5 linked regions of the Canis lupus familiaris genome follow. The protein of the gene in region 2 purifies or fractionates together with the protein of the main gene of each other region. This does not show direct contact. Links are inferred from orthologs where the notes say so. Each region holds a gene or a part of one and is shown on either strand. Other genes may lie near its edges.

Evidence for each region.
Region 1: the proteins of MAPK8IP1 (region 2) and MAPK9 purify together in Homo sapiens (affinity purification with western blotting; 4 studies listed by BioGRID and IntAct, counting the BioPlex papers as one, with this or other methods). This does not show direct contact. The link is inferred for Canis lupus familiaris from reciprocal best matches to the Homo sapiens genes MAPK8IP1 and MAPK9.
Region 3: the proteins of MAPK8IP1 (region 2) and AKT1 purify together in Homo sapiens (affinity purification with western blotting; 3 studies listed by BioGRID). This does not show direct contact. The link is inferred for Canis lupus familiaris from reciprocal best matches to the Homo sapiens genes MAPK8IP1 and AKT1.
Region 4: the proteins of MAPK8IP1 (region 2) and MAP2K7 purify together in Homo sapiens (affinity purification with western blotting; 3 studies listed by BioGRID and IntAct, with this or other methods). This does not show direct contact. The link is inferred for Canis lupus familiaris from reciprocal best matches to the Homo sapiens genes MAPK8IP1 and MAP2K7.
Region 5: the proteins of MAPK8IP1 (region 2) and MAP3K7 purify together in Homo sapiens (pull-down; 3 studies listed by BioGRID and IntAct, with this or other methods). This does not show direct contact. The link is inferred for Canis lupus familiaris from reciprocal best matches to the Homo sapiens genes MAPK8IP1 and MAP3K7.

Annotation. Positions count from the first base shown.
Region 1 is NC_049232.1:1,732,639-1,736,854, forward strand, and holds part of MAPK9 (mitogen-activated protein kinase 9), read left to right. Parts: intron 1-1,845; coding exon 1,846-2,028; intron 2,029-3,246; coding exon 3,247-3,371; intron 3,372-4,216. UniProt on the Homo sapiens protein: Serine/threonine-protein kinase involved in various processes such as cell proliferation, differentiation, migration, transformation and programmed cell death.
Region 2 is NC_049239.1:43,958,158-43,963,111, forward strand, and holds the start of MAPK8IP1 (C-Jun-amino-terminal kinase-interacting protein 1), read right to left. Parts: upstream 2,955-4,954; 5' UTR 2,905-2,954; coding exon 2,804-2,904; intron 1-2,803. UniProt on the Homo sapiens protein: The JNK-interacting protein (JIP) group of scaffold proteins selectively mediates JNK signaling by aggregating specific components of the MAPK cascade to form a functional JNK signaling module. Required for JNK activation in response to excitotoxic stress.
Region 3 is NC_049229.1:72,717,068-72,721,166, reverse strand, and holds the end of AKT1 (RAC-alpha serine/threonine-protein kinase), read left to right. Parts: intron 1-46; coding exon 47-261; intron 262-707; coding exon 708-795; intron 796-2,304; coding exon 2,305-2,407; intron 2,408-2,518; coding exon 2,519-2,598; 3' UTR 2,599-3,333; downstream 3,334-4,099. UniProt on the Homo sapiens protein: AKT1 is one of 3 closely related serine/threonine-protein kinases (AKT1, AKT2 and AKT3) called the AKT kinase, and which regulate many processes including metabolism, proliferation, cell survival, growth and angiogenesis.
Region 4 is NC_049241.1:52,999,937-53,004,945, forward strand, and holds the start of MAP2K7 (dual specificity mitogen-activated protein kinase kinase 7), read left to right. Parts: upstream 1-1,967; 5' UTR 1,968-2,060; coding exon 2,061-2,184; intron 2,185-3,948; coding exon of another isoform or gene 3,949-3,996; intron 3,997-5,009. UniProt on the Homo sapiens protein: Dual specificity protein kinase which acts as an essential component of the MAP kinase signal transduction pathway. Essential component of the stress-activated protein kinase/c-Jun N-terminal kinase (SAP/JNK) signaling pathway.
Region 5 is NC_049233.1:49,886,825-49,891,228, forward strand, and holds the end of MAP3K7 (mitogen-activated protein kinase kinase kinase 7), read right to left. Parts: intron 2,692-4,404; coding exon 2,511-2,691; 3' UTR 838-2,510; downstream 1-837. UniProt on the Homo sapiens protein: Serine/threonine kinase which acts as an essential component of the MAP kinase signal transduction pathway. Plays an important role in the cascades of cellular responses evoked by changes in the environment.

The sequences.
Region 1 (4,216 bases), on a different chromosome or scaffold from region 2:
TTGAATTAATTAAGAAATGTTTTCTTCAGAAAGTACAAAAACTGGATACTTTTTGGTGGATTTTTAAGCAATTTAAAATCCTTCCTTACATATTAGCATCTTGCAGTATTGGTAATTGATAGTTTTATATATAAGGCCATCTAATGTCATTCTCAAAATACACACAGAGATTAACATCATTTTGCAAAGGCAATTTTGCCCACTCTTTCAAACAGTAGATTAAAAACTGCTAGGATGGAAAAAGATTCTGGCACCAAGATTGCAGTTCTCTGAGATTTGCTTCAGATGCATGACCTGGGATAGAGGGGGACCTCCTGTGGCCACAATAGCCCAGCAGAGGGAGGGAGCTGCAGCCAGCCCTCCTCCAGCACATGGGGCGCCATGCAACAACCTTCGTGAGTCGGGGCCTCCCCAAGCCTTGCTCCTGCTCAGTATAACCAGAGGCCCATAGCCACCAAGGGACAATAATGCATGCACACAGCCGGAAGACCAGCCAGCCTTGTTGGGTTTGACTTTTCCTTTCCCACCTGCCCTGAGTCAGTCTACAGAAATGACCCTTTATCGTGAACACACTAGACATTGAGCGCCTACCCACTTCTAGGCTCCCATCTGACTCAGGTTCGAAGAGGTCATGGCAGCTGCTGCATGGAAGTCCGGTCGACTGTCCCAGCAAGAATAGAAGCAGGAGATGAGGGACTGTTTTGGATAACCCAGGGGAAGGGAGGGTGGCGAGAAGGGCTGGAGGGCTGCAGGAGTCTGCTACAGCTGCACGCAGGAAATGAGGGAGTGAGACAGGAGAACATGCTAGTTACTCCAGAGGCCAGAACCCATCTCGTGAGCCTGTTCAGTGAAGCAGGAGAACATGCGTTACTCCAGAGGCCAGAACCCATCTTGAGAGCCTGTTCTCGTCCTGTGTTCCTTCACAGTGATGTGACTGTTTTTCTGAGACAGACCTCAATCAGATTTTCTTTTTTAACTTTTGAAAACTGCTTTTTAAACATTGCTATTTCCATGATTTCTTTTTCCTACATCCTTTTGTATAATTGTTTACAGTCTCAGAATTCCTTTCCAGTTCATGATGCCAGTTATTATGCCAAGCCCCACCTCTGGAAAATAGGCCACGCTTGTATTCTCACATTTTATGAACAAGTCAGATGAAGAGCCAGGGAAGACTGGGGGCCTGGCACCTGCTGTGCGGCAAGTGTGGTGGAGTCTGAAACCCAGGGCATGTATTTTGAAAGGAAGTCAGATGCGCTCTGGGTCCTGCAATGACAATCAGAGAATGACCTGCAAAGTTGTCCATCTAAGTGCAGCTCCAGGGTGGCTCACGGCCCTGTTGGAGAGGACAAGGCTTGGGCTCCAAGAGCCCCAAGCCCCAGCTCATGCACTGCACCGGGCCTTTGCTTCTCCAGGCGTGAACCCAGGACTCTACTCTGTCTACTTCAGGGAGCTTTCAAATTTAAGACACCTTGGTGTGAAAATTGATTTTGGTTTGCCTAAGTCATCTTTACCTAATTTCACCTTTAATCACTTCTGTCACAGGTAGTCTTTAGTAATAAGAATAACTATGTTGATCTAGAAGGGCATGGCATACATCCCTCGAGGTGTTGGTCTAATAAACTGTGATCAGAGTTTAGAAAGGTGCAGAGGTTTTAAAAGTAGTCTCAGAAACCCACACTGTATTTCAATATTATTTCAGAATACCTGTGCTGCCCCAGTGGGGTAGCCTCGTTAATCACCTGTTGGCAGGTAGAAAGAGGATTTTAGCGTTTCTGTGAATGATGCTACTCTGTGTAATGCAACCGTAAGGTCCTTCAGTTATATTTTCCTCAAGAGACTTCTTAGATATTGATCAGTGGAATAAAGTCATTGAGCAGCTGGGAACGCCGTCTGCGAATTTTATGAAGAAACTCCAGCCAACCGTGAGGAATTATGTAGAAAACAGACCGAAATACCCTGGAATCAAATTTGAAGAGCTCTTCCCAGATTGGATATTCCCATCAGAATCCGAACGAGACAAAATTAAAAGTAAGATGCCCTTCATTTTCCCTCATACCTGTTTCTGCAGCCTGACACCCCTGGACGTGGGGAGATAAAATAGTGGAAGCCCTCAAATTGAGTGAGGTACAGGTGAGCCTGAAGGCTTCTAGACCTAAAAGTTCTGTCCTCAACAGAATGGCCTCATGGAAACCTTTGGTCAAAACAAAAAGGTTCACGTCAGTCTGAAAAACTCATGTTAATTATAGCAATTGGAATTCACACAGTTTTCAGGTCCATGGAACACTTGAATTAAGATTCTAGCCCATAATTGATTAAAAAAAAAAAAGTGGGTGCCTCAGTGGCTCAGTGGTTGACCATCTGCCTTTGGTCAGGTTGTGATCCTGGGATCAAGTCCCAGATTGGCCTCCCCACAGGGAGCCTGCTTCTCCCTCTACCTACTTCTTTGCCTCTTTCTCTGTGTCTTTCATGAATAAATAAATAAAATCTTTAAAAAAAAAAAAAAAAAAAGCTGCTTCTCCCTTTCTCCTGTGCCCGTCACCAAAAACATGATTTAAAAGAATAAATTTCTCTCCACATCAGGGTAAACTGCCTCGGTCAGAAAAGCTCTGTCTCTCCTTTGCCTACCCATGTGAACTTTAATTGCCTAAACCTATGTGAGCCTTACATTTGACTAAGTTACTGAGCTTGTTGGTTTTTTTCTAGCAACTAACCTCTAGATTTTTTTTTAAGTGTCTGTTTCCAACATTATATATAGCTGTGGTCATAGCGGAGGTATCTGTAAAGTATTCTATGGTGTGCAAATGTGAGATTGTTTTATGGCTTAAAAAGCCTGTTCTAATTTTGTTTTGATGGGCCATCAAGAGAAAAGCCTTGCTCATGCTCTGTGCCTGCACTCCAGGCAGCGCCATCCTTATCTCAGCTCCCCTGCCTGCCCTGGTGGCAGCATTCCCCGGGCACCATGTCAGCCTCTGGCTGGCCTGTGTCCACCTGGTACCCTTTTCCCAGGCCCTGCCACTCCTCCCCTCCCAGTTCCAGAGGCAAGAAACCTGAGTTGGAAGACCAGATTTGTAGTGAAAGTGCCTCCTTGGCTTATTCTTAAAGAAAAAGCCTCAGCTGATCCAGAACCTATCAAAAATGTCAAGTTTTAATACATCTTTGTTCTATCTGTACTGTCACATTTTCTCTGTGATTTTCTATGTTTCAGCATTAATTTATTAATTAATCTGATATTTGTTTTCATCCTAGCGAGTCAAGCCAGAGATTTGTTGTCAAAAATGTTAGTGATAGATCCTGACAAGCGGATCTCTGTAGATGAAGCTTTACGTCACCCTTACATTACTGTTTGGTATGACCCTGCTGAAGCTGAAGCGGTAAGCATCTGTTTCGGAAAGACTCGTGTGTAAAGGCAGGGAGTCCGCTTCCTTGGATCTTCTGTCGTTCCAGAATGGCCTCAGTAAGGATAGCAAGTTCTAGATTTCAGAGGACTCCCGAATACAAAGAGGCCAGGGGTTGTCCAAGACCTGGCCTGCTTCTGGGACCTTTGCTCTGGGGCTGTCGCTCAGTGTACTTTAGGGGTGGACATGCTTCTGCTGTGGTGATAGCATTGTCTTCCTTTATGCAGATGCTGATGTATGAGTGTAATAACACGGTTTACTAAGCCTCCATCGTGTACCTGGCAAGGTGCCATGTGCTTTGCCTATAACACCTTGGTTAAGCCACCCCCTCAGAGAGGCTTAAGAAACTTGCTGAAAAGCACAAGTTTATTTATCCTTTCCCAGAGGCACTTGCTGGGCGAGTTCCACTTCCGAGCTCAGTGTTCAGGCGCATTTTCCCTTAGCAGCACCAGCATGGGTGATCTCTGGCTGTAAGCGAGATAACTGGCATAGGGGTGGGCTCATTTTAGGGCTGGCCTGTAGATTTTTTTTTTTTTTTTTTAGTTTTTTTTTTTTTTTTTTTGGCCTGTAGATTTAACCACCACAGAAACATAACGTTTCATATGAAAGTCCCATTTATAATAAGCATGTGATTTTTAAGGAAATTTTTGGGATGGCCCAATGTGAGCTGCGGATTGGGTACAGGGGCTCTAACATGAACTGTAAACCTGAGCTGGCATGTCCTTATCCAGGACTGGTCTCTAGGAAGTGGCTCAAATTACTGATTTTATAGTTACATTTGGACAGATGCCTTTAGGGTGTCTTGAGGTCATGTTATAATT
Region 2 (4,954 bases):
AAATAAGTGAAATCCCTCCCCCGATACCACATCTGGAGGTAACTGCAGGTAACTGGATGGAGCATTTCTACAATCAGAAGGGGGAGCAAAGAAGGAACACCTGTCTATTTAAACCAACCAGCAGCAAACAAATGCTCCCTCTCCGGCTTCCACGTCCACCCCGTGCTTACTCCCTGCACACCACCCCCCGCTATTCCAGAGCTCCCCCTTTTCAGGGTGGCCCTGAAGCCAGACTGCCTGCATTCAGACCCCACCTCTGCCACCCTAGCCTCTGTCTGCCTCCGTTTCTTCATCTGCAAAGTGGGGATAATAGTAACGCTCTGTTTATACAGCCCTGGTGAGGATGCTCTTGCGTAGAAAGCCCTTGGGAGGGTGCTGGGCAAAGTGAGCGCCTCCCCGGGGCCAGCGTCCCCCCCACCCCCTTATCCTCTGACAACACGCACTGTTATGCTCTGAGCTCCAGGAGGACAGCGCACAACTGATCCTTCATAATAACCCAGTACAGCATTACTGAGCGCCTACTCTGTGCCGGGCACTGGGCAGGCCGAAGTCTAGGGACTGCCTCCTATGCCTTCTGGAAGCTGACAGCAGTGCTGGGGGCACACACACAGTAACAACCACAGCCCTGCGTGAACGCAGCTCTCCGCAGCCCTTGAAACACTCAACACGTGTCCCATCCAAGTCCCAGGACCGTCCTGAGCAGGAGCCAACAGTCTTGGGGCACACAGCTAAGGAGGCTGAGCCAGCCTGCACACCCAGGCCAGTCGGATCCATGACCACGAGAGAGCGGCAACACCCAGGGTTATCCCGAGCTGGGTGAGGGGCCAGGCGAGGCAGGACAAGGGAAAGGTCAGCGGGGGCTGCTGGAGCAGGCAGGGCAGGCCACGTGGGGCCGGAGACACTGCCCTTATTATTTCCAGAAGCTGCCCTTGTCCCCACGGCCAGGCCATGGTGTCCTGGAGGGCTGGCCCACGCCTTGGCCGTGGCGCACTGCTGTTCTCACCCACCTGGCCCAGAGTGCATACTCACTGGCTGGCGTCCACCTCATCAGTCCCTCTCACTAAAGCATCCAGGATAACCTGCCTGCCAGGGGAGGGCACTGTCACCTGGGGGTCTGGAAGCAGGTGGAGGGAGGCAAAGCTGTCCTCCGGGCCACAGACAGGGCCTGGCGACCGAGTGGACTGAACACCCAGAGACGGCCCGAGGCTCTGACTTCTGCGGGGTCCTCAGGCAAACCACTGCCTGCTGAACCTCGATCTTGTCATCTATAAAATGGGCAGACCGACCCCCACGGCCATGAGGGTAAACGAGCCTGCCCCTGGGAAAGCTCCGAGCAGTGATGAGCTATATAAATGCTCACCAGCATGGAGGGCAGACACTTGTTGAGCACCGACTTGATGCACACGAAGGAATCAATATTAGCTCACCTGTCAGATGGGACTGTCAGGTCGCTCAGCTAGCAAGTGGTGGAGCTCGAATTTGAACCCAGGTCCCTCTCAGCTGTTCCACTGCAGAGGGGCCTCCCAGCAGGAAGGCAATATTTGCCTCTTGGCAGCTTGGCCAGGGGAAACTGGTCTCAGACCTCAGCCTCATTATTCAAGAGGCACCAATCACAAAGGCCCCGGCCCTGGAGCCCTCACACTTGGCCTCCTCCATCTGGTCCCCTCCCTCTGGTCTTCCCAGCTTCTCAGCTCAGGGCCTCAAGGGAAGTTTCTACTGCTGCTGATGCCATTAGAGATCCTCAGGGGTTCCTACCCACCTGAGGGCCAGGGAGCCAGCAACCCCTTGGTCAGAGAGGGGCTGGCGCCAGAGCCCAGCTGGGGCCCGGCTGGGGTGGGGGGCCCAGGAGAGGGGAAGGCGCCGGCTCATTAGATGGAGAAACAATGGGGTACGTCTAGGCCTCCTCCTAGGCTCTGGAGCAGTTACACTGTCTTCTTCCTCCTCTCCAAATGGGGCCAGGATTATGGTGGAGGGATATCCATCCCTTGCCCACAACACCCACTGCCCACTTCCCTAAAATCCACCTCCCAATTGCCTAATAGCAGATAACCGGCAGAGAGGGGGGAGAAAGGGAGCTCAGACCACGGTCCTGGGGACCTGCTCCAGCAGGGAAACCTTCCACCCAGTGTCCTTGGCTACTCCTGGGCTGTCCAAACCAGACTCCCTCAACCAAAGCTGGGCGTAGTGTCTCCTGAATGGGTCGGAGCCTTCCGTGCCTGCACACACCTGACCAGGTCAGTGCTTGCCCACCCAAGTCCACAGGGGTCCTGACCATGCCAGTCCTGGGAGTTAGGCCCCTCTGACCAGACAGGGCTGGGGGAGGGGCCCACGACTTCCTCCTTCCGGCACCAAGGTTGTCAGTTGCCCCAAGAAACTGGGAGCCACGAGGCACCCCATCCCCGCACCCATGTCTATTCAGAATCCTGTGGACTGGGCAGAAGCAGAGCATTAGCCTGCCTGCCTCCTCCGCTGTCTCAATCCGGACCCCAGGCCCTGCCGCAGTCCCAAAGTGGGGGAGAAGGCGGCCTCTGCGCCCCCCCCTCCAGTTCCCTCTAGAATCTCCTAGCCTGGGGCATGGAATGGCGGAGGGAGCCGCACCGTTGGCTCTGCAGCGGCTATCCGGCGGGACGGGGGGCTGAGGGGGTTTCTGGGGACCCTGCCCAGGGAGGAGACCCCCTCCCCGCGCAGCCCCTGCGTTCCCCAGGTCGGTGTGTGCGTGTTGGGGGCGGGGGGCGGCGGGCGGCGGGGGCCGGCGCAGATTACCCGGGCCGAAGGGCGGGGCGCGGCGGCCGGGGACTCTCACCTGAAATTGGGCGGCGACGCGATGTGCAGCCCCAGGAACGGGGAGGCGGCAGGCGGGGACGCGGCCCCCCCGCCCAGGCCGCCGCTCTCTCGCTCCGCCATTCCCCGGCACAGCCCTGGCCATCCGGGCGGAGCGCGGCGCAGAGGCGGCGGCGGCGAAGGCGGCGGCGGCGGAGGGGACGGAGGCGGGCGCGCGGAGAGGCCGCCGCCGCCGCGGGGCTCGGGCTGGGGCGGGCGCGGCGGGCGCACCTGCGCAGGGCAGGGCGCGGCTCCGGACCGCGCGCCGCTCCCGGGACTGGCGCGAGCGCCGCCGCGCGTCCCCGGGCCCTCGCCGGGGTCTCGTGCGCCCCGCCCCGGCCCCGCCCCGGCCCCGCCCCGGCCCCGCCCCGGCCCCGCCCCGGCGCTCTCCGAGGTGCTGAAGCGGCGGCCCCCGCGGCCCCCGCGCCCACGCGGATCCCTCCGCCCTCCTCCCCCTCCCGCAAAGCCCTCGCGCGGTGCGGGCTCTGCGCCCTCGGGGGGGCCTGGCGCCCGGGCATGAGGGAGCTAATGGCGGGACCCGGTCCCCTGGGCCCTAGTGGCCCCCAGCAGCAGACAAAGAAGGCGGGCAGGACCGGAGGGCCATGGAGGAAGGAGGAGGAAGGCGACATGGTGTCGGCGTGGGCTCCCAGGGCAAGCCGGGGTTGGAGTCAGGTGGTGTGAAGTCACAGCCTGGCTTCCCAAGTGAATAGGTGGTGTGGCCTTGCATTAGTGACTTCACGGATCCTAAGTTTTCTCATCTGTGAAATGAGGACAGTAATGGTCCCTCTCGTGGTTGTGAGGATGAAAAGTAATACAAATATGTTGTCACCGGCGGCAGGGAATACCCCACCTCTGCCTAGAACCCAGGTCTCACCCAGTCCTGTCCCCTTGAGGAGACCCTCTCATGGACTCTCCCTAGAAGATTTTCTCTCTAAAGATTGACCCAGTTATTAATGGGGAACTGAACCTTTCTCTAGGCTTCTCTGTTTCTCCTCCCTCACACCAGGACTTTCCCAGATTTCTCTCAATTGCATTTCCTGCAGAGAACTTCTCATTTGCACCCACAGACACCCCATAGCTGGTTTCCCACATTCTAAGAGTAGGAGCCACTTTTCCTCCTGCTGCCATGGTTGACTTCTTGGGATTCTTCTTATGGTTTTTCTGTTCCTTCCAGCACCTCTACCCCTGCTAGTTTGGGGCCACAGTTCCTTTCTGGTCTCTCCCCTACGAGGGCTAAGCCTGTGAGTTCTTTTACAGAACACAGACTGCTGGACACTCAAACTGCTGGCAAGGCTAGGGCCCCAGCTTTGGTGGGTCAAGAGCCTCTGACCAAACCTCATTGGTCTCTCTGGCCTCCTGAGAACTGCGGAGGCTCTGTCCTTACTTCTTTCCGAAGAAGGGGCAAACTGTTTCACAGCTTGTGGGATCCTATTTGCAAATCTGGACTGCCTACTGGTCACACCACTCCCTTTTCCTTCAATGTAGCACCCAGAAAGGAGCTGCAGTCACGTGCCCTGCAGGAAACAACTCCCCACCTCCAGCCCCAAGAACATCCCATTACCTACTGCCAAAGGCTCTTCTCCCTGCCTGTGGGCCCAGAGGAGTGGCCACTTTACCTTTCTTGCTATCTTGGCTCAGCCTCCTTTCACTAGGACCAAACAGTAGCCACCTTCTGCTCAGATGCCTGGCTTTTGCTTCCAGGAAGTGGTCTTGGCCTAGAGGTTAATAATTGTTGCTTAAGAGTGTGTGCTTGCCTCAGCTGGGAGCATCTTCAGGTCAGGAGTGTGTGTGTAAGACAACTTCATTCTCCAGAATCTTCTGCTGGAGAACAAAGCTATTGTAGCTCCTGAGGCCAAGCCAAAGTCACATTAGAGAGAAGCCAGGAGAAGGGAGGGGGGACGGGCAGGTCCAGGTCTTGGTGGGAAGGAGCTTCAAAGCAGATCTAAGAATGAAATGAATCCCAAGCTCCTCCCGTTTCCCCCTTTCTCATTCTGTGCAGGGCATTTTGTGTATCCTTGGGCCCTCTCTGAGCCCCTGCCCACACGAAGTTGGGGTGTGGTGTATTAACAAAAGTCTTTCTGTGGCCCAAGGCTAGAGACCATCATAGAAAAGCCCACATATGCTGCAGAGAGAG
Region 3 (4,099 bases), on a different chromosome or scaffold from region 2:
CCCGCGTCCCCCGGGCGGCCTGTGACCCGCGCCCCTGCGTCCCCAGGTGCTGGAGGACAACGACTACGGCCGGGCGGTGGACTGGTGGGGGCTGGGCGTGGTCATGTACGAGATGCTGTGCGGCCGCCTGCCCTTCTACAACCAGGACCACGAGAAGCTCTTCGAGCTCATCCTCATGGAGGAGCTGCGCTTCCCGCGCACGCTCAGCCCTGAGGCCAAGTCCCTGCTCTCAGGGCTGCTCAAAAAGGACCCCAAGCAGAGGTGAGCCCGCGGCCCTGAGCCAGCAGGGGGCTGGTGGGCCACCCCACCCCCGTGCCCGTGCCCCCCAGGGACAGCGGGCCAGCCTCCGGGCCACGCTGGTGGCTGATGTGTGACGTCCTCGGCCAGGGCCGATGGGGACCTCGCAGCCTCTCACACCTGCTCAGGAAGACCCTGCCCTGCCGGCAGCACCTGCCTCCCCGACGTCCTCCTCGTGCAGGAGCCTGGCCCATGGCCTGGTGTTGTCCACTGCCCCCAGGGAGGCAGTGCCATCCCCCGCCCCAGGACCATCACCCTCAAACCGGCTCCCCTCTCCCGTGCCCCCCAGCCCCAGGCTGTGCCCCCTGCACCGTCCTCCCTGCTGCCCCGAGACCCCAGCAGGAGGAGGGCCCGGTGAGGGGCCCGAGCCCTGAGCCAGGCATGGCAGCCCCTGACGTGTCCCTCCGCAGGCTCGGAGGGGGCTCAGAGGACGCCAAGGAGATCATGCAGCACCGCTTCTTCGCTAGCATCGTGTGGCAGGACGTGTACGAGAAGAAGGTGTGTGGGTGGCCTGGCGCATCTCCCCCCTTCCCACCCCTTCTCCAGGCTTACAGGGTCTGCACTGCGGGATTTCCTCCCAAGCCCCGAACAGGGTCCTCCCGCAGGGTCCTCCCTCGGTCCAACCCCCAGAGGGAGTGTGGGGGCGTGGACTCCCCGAACCCGGCGCCCTGTCAGCTTTGGGCCTCAGGCTTCCCCGTCCCTGAGGCTGCCCGTGAAGCCTGGCAGTGGAGCGGGGGCCCTAACCCTGCCCTCCCACTCTCTCCACTTGTCCATAGTCCGTCCTGCCGCCCTGAGCACGTGGGATCGGGGCACAGCACCCGCTTGCCTAGCGCATGCAGGAGGCCTCCCAGGAGCGAGGCAGCTGCCGCTTGCCCCCATTCCTCTGTCCTTTGCCCTCTGAGGGACTTGAGGGGCGCAGTGGCCCAGCAGGTCAGGAAGCCTGGACCAGGGCGTGCTGCACACCTGTCACCAAATAGACTCCCACCTGGTTTCCATTCTCCCCTCCCCTGCAGGCCGCACACACCGGGTGGGCCTCCGCCCTGTCTGCGAGACGGGGCGCCCCCACCCTGCTCAGCTCCCAGCCACTACCCTGCCCTGAGGTCTGCCACCACCGGGCTCTGCCCTCCGACAGCCCAGCTGCTGCCCAACCTTGACCCCTGCTAGCTCACGAGGGGCAGCCCTGGAGTACTGCAGGGCAGTGCTTGCTTGGGGGGCCCTCCCACGGGCACGTCCCCTACAGTTCCCCCCGCAACCTCCGCGGCCTAACTCAGCCAGCTGCGCTGTTGTCCTGGAGCCACCAATGAGGCCAGCCAGGCCGTGCACTCAGGACTGTCCCTTCCCCGTTGTGCCAGGCGAGGCCCCAGAGAGCTCATGCAGAGGAAGGCCTGGCCTCCTCTCCTGGTGGGAGGTTGGGCAGGGAGGGCCCTGGGAGCCCTGTGTGGATCTGGGGCATGTCACGTGCACCTCATACCCCAGCACTGGCTGCTTCTTGGGTCCCCCTGAGGCACTGCATGGGAATACTACTCACTGGCCCTGGTGGGGGGTCCGGGGGCCGTGGGGATGGGCCTGGCCCTTTATCATGAATGATCAGAGTGGAAGCCCCTGGCAGCTGGGCCAGTGGCTCTCTGGTCAGGAAGGGGTGTGCACGGCACCCAAGGATGGGGCTGGGAGCCCATCCTGGCCTGTGGAGTCCCTCTTCATCTCCTTCCTACCTCGTCAGAGAACCAGAAAGTCATGAAAGCTAGAAAAGAGAACGGACTTGTGGCCTTCTGCGCGGGGGCCTGGGCCTGCAGAGCCAGCCAGCTGCGGGGCCAGCTGTGGGGTGGCCGGGAGCCTGGCCCGGTGGGCCCTAGTGGCGGGGCCGCGTGTGCAGGGCCCGGGCCGCCCCCTCTGTGCGTCTCCGTGCCAGAGCCCCGTTCCCGGGGGTTCCTGGAGGGGGAGAGCTCAGGCCCCAGGGGCAGGGCAGAGTTCAGCCCCTAACCTGCCGCCCCTAACTGCCCCCCACAGCTCAGTCCGCCCTTCAAGCCTCAGGTCACGTCGGAGACAGACACCAGGTATTTTGATGAGGAGTTCACGGCCCAGATGATCACCATCACGCCGCCCGACCAAGGTGAGGAGGGCAGCCCGCCCAGCTCCCTGGCGGGAGGGCCTGCGAGGCCGGCCTTCGGGCACGGCAGCCGTGCTCCGGGGTCTGAGCGCACCTCCCGCCCACCGGCTGCAGGTGACAACATGGAGGGGGAGGACAGCGAGCGGAGGCCCCACTTCCCGCAGTTCTCCTACTCGGCCAGCGGCACGGCGTGACGAAGGCCGGCTGGCTGCGCCGCGCTGCCCACCGCGCCGCCCACCGCGCCGCCCACCGCGCCGGCCCCGGGTCGGGGAGGAAGCCTGGCAGGACCGTTAGGATTTCGTGTTTAGTTCTGGATGCACTGGGAGGAGCCGCGCCCTGCTCCGGGGATGGGAAGACCGGCGGCCCCGAGGAAGGGGTCCTGCGCGCTTCTCTAATTTATTTCATCCGGGTCTCCAGACACGGCCTTGGCCTTCAGAACGATTAGCCTCACATAGGAAAAGGCTGAGGACCTCGCGCAGCCACGCGCCTGCGGCCCCCGTCCCTCCCGCCGGCTGTCCTGGCCCAGCCTGGCCGTGGCACGCTGGCCTGGTCCCCTCCCGGGGCAGGCCAGGCCGGGCTCGCCCGAGAGGCAGAGGAACGACGTTGCAATCCGTTGCTGTGTATCATGCTATTCACGTGCATCTTGGGGTTTTGTTAATCTTAGTGACAAGAAAGCCCCTCCCTCCCCCCCTTTTGTCCCTTTGGGGCCATCCCACTTCGGTGGTGTCCCAGGTATCACGTGTCCTCCGGAGCAGCTTCACTGGCCCGCCGTGCGCCCAGTGCCCTTCGGAGGGGCCTTCGGAGCACCCTCCGCGCCTCGCGGCCCGACGTTGTGCTGCACGGGGGCGCTTTTTACATTCAACTTTACTATTTTTACTATTATGAAACTTTCCCTCCGAATTCTTCAATAAACACTGCTTTTCAACTTTGTGGCTGGTTTTGGTGGGTGGCGGGTAAAGAGTGAGGCGGCCGGTGCATCGGGGGGGCGCCCCCAGATCAGCCTACCCTCTGAGGGAAGACGGCCCTCCGTGGCAGGGCTCACGCAGCGGGGACATGCCCCGGCAGTCCACACGCCCAGCCGTGTCACCCCCGTACAGTCCAGGAGGCCTGGGGGAGGCCACGCAGCAGGTCTGGGACTGCCAGGTAGAGGGGTGCAGGTGGCCCAGATGCGGCCCAGGAACCCAGTGGGACGCGCTGCAGGCGCCACCTGGTGGATGCCCGGTGGTCGCTTGCTCAGAGCAGAGCCAACTGTCCACCAAGTGCCTGCGAGCCTTGGCTTCCTCGCCCGGGGACGCACCCCTGCAGGTGTGGCCGGGACGCCCGGACGTTTATAGGTCCTGGTGCATAGGCCTGGAGGTGGGGGTGAGGGCCCCTCCGTCTCTGGACTCCAAGGTGATCCCAGGTGGGGTGGCTGCCCCTCCTGCTGGAGGGAGCGCCGCATGGGGGGCACATCTGGCGTAGCCCCCAGTCACAGGAGTACACAGCTTTTTTAGAACCACAAACACACAAACGTTACATAGTATAGGGAGCTTTAGAGGTAAGAGAAACGGGCATCCCATCTGAACCCCGCGCACCGTCGCTGCGATGTGAAGTGGTGCGGCCGCTGGGAGCAAACTACGGCGGTTCCTCAAGACATTAGACACAATTAAGGTCGTTGCACTTTAGGTACACTTCACACCGTGAAGAGGAAAGGCA
Region 4 (5,009 bases), on a different chromosome or scaffold from region 2:
TTCTGGCCTAGTTAGTGCCATATATGGGGTTGGGGCACATCCCAATGGGATTTCAGCCCTTTCCCCCACCCCTCAAAACACCTTATAGCTGGTGTTCTCTCCCAAGGAGGGGACACAGACACAAGGGACTAATGAGTGACCCTTGCCCCCAACTTTGATGCCAAATCCTTATTTATAAGTTGTTTGCTATGGACACGCAAAATCAGAAAAATGGTTCTCGTGTTTGGCTATGCATCAAAATCAACATCCCCAAAACAAAACATCCTGGGCCCCACCCCTGAAAGACTGACTCAGGTCTGGCTGGAGGCCAGGAACCTGCCTGCAAATACACATCCCAGGTAATTCTGATGCAGGTGGTCCTAGACCTGTGTGTTGGGAATTGCGGACCTACAGAATCTGCAAGTCCAGAGCAGGGATTCTGAACCCTTTCTAAGTCCTACACCTTTTGAACATCTGAGAAAAGCTGGGTGTTTCCTTTCCCAGGAAAATGCTCAGGTACACATACATGCAAAGTTCCGCAAGCAACTTTAGGCAGTCAGCAAATTCCCCCAGATTTCCCAGAGGGCCATTCACGGACATCCTAAGGATGGCAGACTCCAGTGTTAAGAATGCCTGCCGAGGAGGTTAAATTTTTCTGAGCAGAGGCAGGGATTTTGTCTTTCCAGTGTTTCCTGTGTGAGAGAGCATCTACCAGTGGGTGCTTAATAAATAATCTGAATTATGAGAACTAAACTTCCGATCTCTGGTATCCACTCCTGTTTGTCTAAGCCTTCCATTTCGCCAGACCAATAACAGGCAAGCAATGACACTCACATGGCGGAATCAAGGGTATGAGTTTCTGTCCTGGAAGCAGAGGCAGGAGAGACCTCGGCTTATCAGGCATCATCTGCGTAGCTATTTTTTGGAGAACTCTCTTTCTTCTCCATTCCTTATTATTCTCCGGACTCCACACTCTCGCATCTGTTCCACCCGCAAATTGTCACCACGGGAGTCCCCACAAGCCTTCCGCGCCCGCCAGTGTTCCCGTGCTGGACCAGGAGCAGGAAGGGCATAGGGCACAGCCTGCCTGACCTGGACCTCCCGGGCCTGGACACCTCAAGGAGTCTGAAAAAATGCGAGCCTCTTCCTCGCAACTGAGAGCAGACGCAAGCTGCTTTCCGAAATCCAGGATCCCAGATGGGGGCATTTTCCCGGGCGCCCACAGACCAGTTGAGCCGCGAGGAGACCAGGCTGAGGCGCCCTAACATCCAGGCCCATCTTCCGCACTGTCCAGGAGCTGGGCTCACATTCCGGGGTTGGGAAGATGAAAGTCCTAAAATACCCCATTTGAGGGGGCTGACCTGGAACTCTTCTGGCCCTGCCCCTCACCCTGTCCGGAGATCAGGGGTCATGCCCCTGGTCCTGGGGCCCCTCCAGTGACCGAGCCCTACCCTGCCCCTCCCGCCAGCCCTTGGCCAACCCCGAGTTTGCTGAAATAGAAAGGGCTCCCCACGGGCGCCTAATTATGGTGAAGAGACAGCAATTAAGCCTAACAGGGATCCTAATGAAGCACTGTCCCAGACGAGAAAGGCAGTGCTGGGAGAGCGTGGGTGCCAGAAAACAGGCCGGGAGGGGAAGAGCGAGAACGAAGCTGGGGAGGACACGCTGCAAGAGCTACTCCCAGCAACAGGGGCAGAGAAGCGAGCCAAGGTTGCGCAGGCGCAGTAAAGGCCGCGCGCGGGATCGCGTCCGCGCCTCTGCACGCAGGCGCGCCGCTCTCCCCGCCCGCCGCTCTCGGCCCAACAGTGTGAATGGATTGCCACACGCAGTCCGCGCATGCGCACCACCAGGAGAGGCGTTGCTCGTTGCCAGACGCGAGCTCTAGGTGGCGTCATCCCTCCAGCTGGGAAGAGGCACGCATGCGCGGACGTTAGCACGAGGGATGGGCGAGTGCGCGCCGCGGGCATGCGCCGTGCGGGGAGAGACGGCGGCTCGGCGGGGTCATCCAGGCGCAAGCGCAGTGCGGTGTTTGTCTGCCGGACTGACGGGCGGCCGGGCGGTGCGCGGCGGCGGCGGGGAAGATGGCGGCGTCCTCCCTGGAGCAGAAGCTGTCCCGCCTGGAAGCAAAGCTGAAGCAGGAGAACCGCGAGGCCCGGCGGAGGATCGACCTCAACCTGGATATCAGCCCCCAGCGGCCCAGGCCCAGTAAGCACGGCAGCGTGGGGGAGGGGGCGGGCGGGGCGGGGCGCGCGCCGCGGGAGGCCCCGCCCCCGCCGTCAGGCCCCGCCCCCGCTTCCGGGGCGCTCTGGCTCCTCCTCCTCCCCACCCCATACCCCCTGCTGTCGGCTCGCGCGGAGAGGGTCACGGTGACCCGGGGGGCGTGGGGCCGCGGGCTCCCGGGCGGCTCTGCCCCCAACGTAGGGGTTCCCCCTCACGGGGCCTACGAGCCTAGTTACCCGGCAAGGCCCCCCACCTGACGGCCCGCCCCCTCCGCGGGATCCTCAGAGCCTATGTCACCGTCACCTACCCAGAGCCGGAGCCGCGCTCCCTCCAATGCATGCGACTGTGACCACATCCAGGTTCGTCGCAAACACGGACACGTCTCTTCCGACCGGACGACTTCACTCCTGCCATCTCAGTGACTGGCAGGAGGCCCCTTTCCCCTTCGGCACCTGGGTCCCTGTCATATGGTTTAGTGGGGGATGCGCTCACACTCACACACAAGCACACTTGGCCCAGGTGACACCTGAGGTCATTTGATCACTGTAACTCCCTATTCCTCTGACCCCCTTTCCTGTGACTGTGTCTGGTAATCCCTTTTTCCCCCGGGCGGGGACCTTGTAATTGGGCCTGGGGGGCCCCCCCTCCCACGCACACCCTACCCACATACACCAGGCCCCTTCATACTTCTCTGACCCGTTTCACTGCCACCATCTTGGTGACTGTCTAGCTTCTCAAAAAATACACACCGAACTCTCAGCTTGGCAACTTTCGCCCACTGGACTCGAGTGACTTCCTCTTTCCTGCACGCCCACACTCACCTGGCCTAGGGATACCTGAAGCCAAGGTGGTGATATCTAGACCTCCCAGCCCACACACACCTCGTATCTGATCCCACTATCTCTGTGTATCTCCCTGCATCTTGTTGCCTGGAATCAAAAGCTGCCTCCTCCTGCCCTCCCCCACCCAACAATCACACCTGACCTGGGATTGCCACGACCACTGGACCACTGTCTAGTTTCTTTGTTATGTCCCACTGAACCCCCCTCCCCAAATCTCTCAGCTGGAGGGCATCGGGTCTTCACCCTCCCCACAGACCTGATGGGTAGCACCTCATCACGCACTTTGTGTCTCTCTCTTGAGCTGGCAAATTGCCCTCCTTTGTACTTCTGATATGATCCCTGTAGCTTATGTAGCTCCCTGTGGGGTCATCCTGGTAGGAGGGGGAACACACCCCCATGTCAGAGTATTGCAGTCACTCCCCGCTCACCCAGCCTGATCTTCACGGCCTGACTGCCCCCCAGTCCCTGGGTGCGCTTCACTCCCCATCTCTCTCTCTTCTGATTTGGGGTGGTGTGGGTTCCTCCCTGGGGCAGAAAGGCCTCCCAGGACTGGAGGGTCCCTGCTGGGCTCTGCAGTGCTGCCTCCCCTGGCCCCAGCATGGAAGAGACAGGGCTGGGTCTGGGGCCAGGGGTGCCTTACAGGGTGGCTGTCCCAGAGTGAGGTATGGTGAGGCCCACGGCGGGCAGGCCCCTGAGGAGCCCCCTTCAGGTGTCTGTGTCTGTGTCAGCTCCATCTCATCCTCCCGGTCCTCCCATTTCTGTCGGTTTCTACCCGTCTCTGCAGTTTGGTGCCTCGCGCCTCCCCCTCTTCCTCGTTATGATTTGATTTCTTTTCTTTTGGACAAATCAGTTGTTTCTGTTGTGATTTATCGTGGTGTTGTTTTTTTTCTTCCTTTTCCCCATCCAGTTATTGTGATCACTCTAAGCCCTGCTCCTGCCCCGTCCCAACGAGCAGGTACCAGCCTTTTTATCATCGTCGCTTGGACATCTGCACCATTGACCTAACCGCTGCCCCGCCGCAGAATGCCCTCCCCCCCACCCCCCATGCTGTGTGTGCGTGTGTGCGCCTGTCACTCTTTTCTCCTTCCACACAATCAGTGATCAACAGTGTTTGGCCCACTTGGCCAATTCTGTGTCCGCTCACCTTCCACTCCTCCCTTCCTGGCGGGCTCAGGTTTGGACTCCCTGGAAGAGGAAGTGGGCTCCTTTACTGACCAGGAGTCTGCCGCCTGTGAGAGGTCGCACGTGTGAGTGAGCGTATGAGAGAGAGAGAGGGAAAGTTGGGCTAGGCCATCGGGCTGTGCCTGTTGATTTGTTTCAACCGTACAGCCAACATGTACTGCCCTGCTCTAGGGACACAGCAGCGAACAGAACGGACCAAGGGCCCCTCGTTGTGTGGCTGACGCTCACTGACAGCATTCTCCTGGTCTGGGAGAAGTGGACAAAGCAGTGATGCTTTGTAGAAAAGGCAAAGTAGAGCCAGCTTGGGGTTCTGCAAGGGGTGGTCAGTCGGGGAAGCCTCTAGAGCAGCTGGGATTACAGCACAGGCTCGGGGGAGGTGGGGAGATGTGAATGAAGGTAGAGGAAGCAGCCCGCCGAGGCCTGAGGCCGGAGCGCAGTTACTTGCGGGTCTGGAGCAGATGGGGAGGGTGTGCATGTGTATATGTGAGAGAGAGAGTGTGAGAGCAAGAGAGACAGACACCTGGGTGAGGTCTGGTCCAGTTGGCCCTTGTGTAGGGGGAGCTAAATTGGGCAGGTTGTGTGTGTGTGTGTCTGTGTGTGTGTGTGTGTGTGTGTGTGTAAGACAGCGTGAGGCTGGCCCTGTTCAGGGCTCTCGGCATGTTGTCTGTACACGTGTGGGGGTTTGTGCCATGCGCTGTGTGTGTGCGCGTACATACGTGTTGGACTGACAGCCTGGTACATCTGTGGCTCCTTTTGGCCATGTGTTTCCATGCGCTCTTGTTCTCT
Region 5 (4,404 bases), on a different chromosome or scaffold from region 2:
CTCAAAAAAAGTTGATTTTAATTTTGCAGTTTCTGTTTTCTTTCCCTCGAGGAAAGAATGAAATGTAATTAGGGATTGATCAGGGATTGTCTGTGAATTTCCTACATGGGGACCTTTATGCCACTTGCTTGTCTGTTCGCCATTTCCAACCAAAAATGAGGCTTCGAATAAAAAGTGAAACCAGAATCATAAAATATTTGGCTCCTTGTTAAAATTTCTTTAAAGGTTTGATGGGTGAGGATGCTGGTTAAAACTGGCGGTGGATTTTAATGATCCCTGCTGTCCTTTTCTCCCATCAAGGACAATCAAGGACTTATAAAAAGTATGAGCTTTGCAACACAACTACTTTAGGCTGAACTACTCTCAGCATCTAGGGCAATTACAGTGTGAGAATCCCTAGGAACTTACTGTAAACAAACAAGCAAGTGTTCAACAACCTTTTTTTGCACTTGGCACCATGACTTAACATTACTATTTTCTTCCATTTTCCTATTTGAGATTTTTATGAAGTGATTACATGTGATAACAATTAAATTTCCCTTTAAGTATGTAATATAGAGCAAAAACACATTCATGACTTGAAATAAAAGCTGAAATCTATAGTGCTAAATCCTAATGGAAAGGTCAAGCATTAGCATCCACACTTGAATATCTCATGCTCTGAGATAATCAGAAAAGTCTCTGAACACTGACTAGGTCCCTTTTGGTGGAGTGACACACATATATCAACAAGCAGCAATGCTATGAAAGAGTTCTACTTTTCCTTAGTCTATAGTTATTTTCTGTGCCAATTTTATTTTACTATTAATGTGTTGAGACCAGTATCACTTTCAGCTAGGCAATCAAATTATTTGGGAATGATAGCCCTTCTTTTTTTTTTTTTTTAAAGTAATGGTAGACATCTACTTACTGGAAACTTTCTAACAATAGATTTTGAGGAAGCTAAAAAGGACACAGTTTAGTACAAACTGTCTTTTACCTTTATTGCTTGTATACACAGGAATACATTATAAAACTCAGTGGGAGGAGGAAAAAAATAACAGAAGAAAAAGTTACCTGCTTTAGCATTTTTAAGAATAGTTTTGATAACTTCTTAGATCAACTTGCTTATCTGAAACAGAGCAAAACTACAATACAATCATGATATAATTCTAATAATCACAGCAATTATGCTTTCATTTTTAATTTTCTCTTCATAAAACATTAATGCTATAAAAATGAGGTTGATGACATCATTGTTTAAAAGACACCTTGTACTGGTACCAAAATGTGATTTATTTTAATACCAACTGAAAAAATAGAGCTTATATAGTCTATTATTTCAATGAAGTTCTTTAATTACTTTTATTTTCAAAGTTGGTAGCAAAGTTATTGTTAACAATATAAATTTTCTCTTTATAAGTGTCGAAATTCCCTTAAAACTGTTGAAAGGCAGCAGGCATTCTAGGATGGGCTTGCAAGGAAAATCAATTATTCCAATGTTGATAAATAGTATACTTGATGAATTTTATATTGACTTCTTTAGTTTCCTTACTAACTTCTCCTGATTTGCCAGGTTTTTTACCCCTTTTGGTTTCATAAAAGGAATCTAAGCCCAAGCCTTTTGGCTGGAGCAATTATTTCCATTTTCCACTATTTCTCTTTATTTTTTCAAATATACACTAAAACAATCCAATAATCATTGCAGGAAGGAATGATCATTTAAGATGGATCGTGTTCATTTACCTTTTAATTTCATTTAAGAGATATTAATACTAGAGTCATAAAATCTTTACAGTTTCAACACACATACACGCAATCACAAATTAAAAATCTTTGTATCTTAAAAAAAAGGGTTCCATTTTGTTCAATGTATCATAGTCAAATTTTAGTCCAATGAAATATGGTTTTATTACATACAGCAGCCGCCACTTACCTTTAAATATTTTATGGGTGGAACTAAGCTCAGCATTGACTGCAGGATGCTGGCGTCAGAGCCCTTACCTGCAACTGTCCCTAAAGATTCTGCATTTCTATAATGTACCACCAATTATTCTAGATTTATAATACCCTGTCTTCAACTTGGCATATACCATCTTTTGGAAAAAAAATTGTTTTCTGAGATGAGATACAAGAACAAAATCATTCTTGAGGTTCCACCTCAAAAAAAAGACGATGTTTGCACATAGCAGCTAGTTTGATAACCCCTGTTTTTGTTAGGCTAGCCTTCACACAATGAGCATGCATGTACAGCCATGGTTCACTGCATCTGTTTTGAAGTTGAGAACTGCTGCTTATTCAAGTCACAGATGCCCCCATGTTATGTAAGGAGACAGTTGAATTGTATGTCCACCATGAAAAGAAGAAAATAAACGATGAAACAAAATGCAGCAAATATAGGCAGTTGGCATTCAGAACACGCCCAAAGCTAACACTCATGAATTGTCATTATAAGGGCTTTTCTTTCCTTAAAAAAAAAAAAAAAAAGAAGTCTGTCTTTGCATATTTTAAAATTTAAAGGTCCCAGAGAATCATGAAGTGCCTTGTCGTTTTTGCTGCTGACTTCTGATGACCTCTAGTTGTTTCTTGCATTGCTGGTAGTAAGTGGAAAGGCTTTTGTTTTCATCTAAAAGCTTTTTATGTTCCTGTACCAGACGAGATGTATTTTGCTGGTCCTTTTCATCCTGGTCCAGTTCTGCAACTAGTTCTTGCCTAAAAACAAATACCACATAATAAAATATTGTACATCTTGTACATGATAAAAAATCCATACTTAGTAACTGATGAGCTTGGCTTGTTAGGGCTTTCTGTATTGACTGTTACACATTTTAGGTACACTACTCAAATATAATTGTAGGCTAGAATGGAAACTATTACCCACTCTTCTGGTGTACCCACACGAACACCACACCACGATCCTTTTGTAAGTAACTGCACTTAGATAATTAATGAACGCAGATAAAATGGCATAACAAAAGTTTCAAAACATTTTACTTGGTATCCCCTTTGTGTAAGAAGAAGAAAAAAGGCTGGGGAAGGGCTCTAGGCACAGGAAAATAACATGTTTTATCATTCACATTCCACTTTTACACTCGTGAACTTTTATTTATGTTTGAAGTTACATCTTATTTAACTACAGTACAAAGTGGGGGCTCATAAAACATTGGCAAGCTAATTAAAATAGATGCTATCAACTTAAATCTATTTCCTACTTTAAAAGTGAGAACAATACAAAGTACCAATTTCGAATGAGTTACTTTTACAAACATTTTCAGGAAGACCATTAGAGACTTTTACAGCCTGATAAACTTTTTAAAGACCCCTTTATTTGGGAGATGTTCAATTTTAACTCCTAAAGTGAAGTTATAAGTGATTAATTAATGATATAAATGAATAATTAATGAAGAGCCTCCAGATGATTTTCTTGTAGTATTTCTCAAAGTATTTAAATAAAATTGATTAAAATTGTCATAGTTTTCGCATTCCCTCAATCTATCATTTCTTTTTCCAGCACAGAACCAACTCCTCGTTCAAATGAATAAAAAAGGAAAAAAGTATAGACTAAATATGTAAAGTAAGAGGTTTTTTTTAAAAAACATAAAGTGTCAACAGTTCTACAATTAGCTCCACAATTTGCAGACTCAAATATTTATTTCCTATAGAGCCTTTAAGGTAGAGTTGCAATCATTTAACAATAAGTTGTGATAGAGCTATTTTTTCTTTTTTTTTTGAAGTACAAACGGAAACTTTCCACAAATTACTTCAGAAAGCAAGAAATTTTCACTTATTTAGATTAAAATCAATAGAGGGAATCCTATTACCATGCCATGATTTTTTCCTATAGCACTTCATTTCAGTTCCCTCTAAAATGAGGATCCATGCAGAAACTTAAGTTTTTGTTTTTTTTTTTTTAAGAATTTCAAATAAAGGAGCATGAAAATTGATTTTCTTAAAAAAGGGAGGAGAGGAAGGCAAACTCAATAACTCTCAGAAAAACATATGCGTGAGTATAAAACACCTTATAAAAACACTCATGGGTATAAAATAAAGTAATCCTACTCTCCTAAATATATACCTGGAAAGACTATATCAATAAAACATTTCTAAGATAAAGTACAGTTGAACATTAGTAAATCAAATTATTTTACCTATGTCTAAGGAAACAATAAATCATTGTAACTATAAATCTAACCAGCTTCTGGTTTCAAAATTCTTAGAACATGAAACACCAGTTTATTTTCCTTAGTTTTAATATAATACATACAGCCAATGGGTTGAGTTTTACATGAAAAACAGCCGAAAGTTCCTTCAAACTTAAAAGATGAACACATATAAAACCTCCAAATTGGAAATACAGTTGACCCTACAATGAGATGAGTCTCAACTAAATGGATCCACTTATACATGGATTTTTGTTCAGTACTG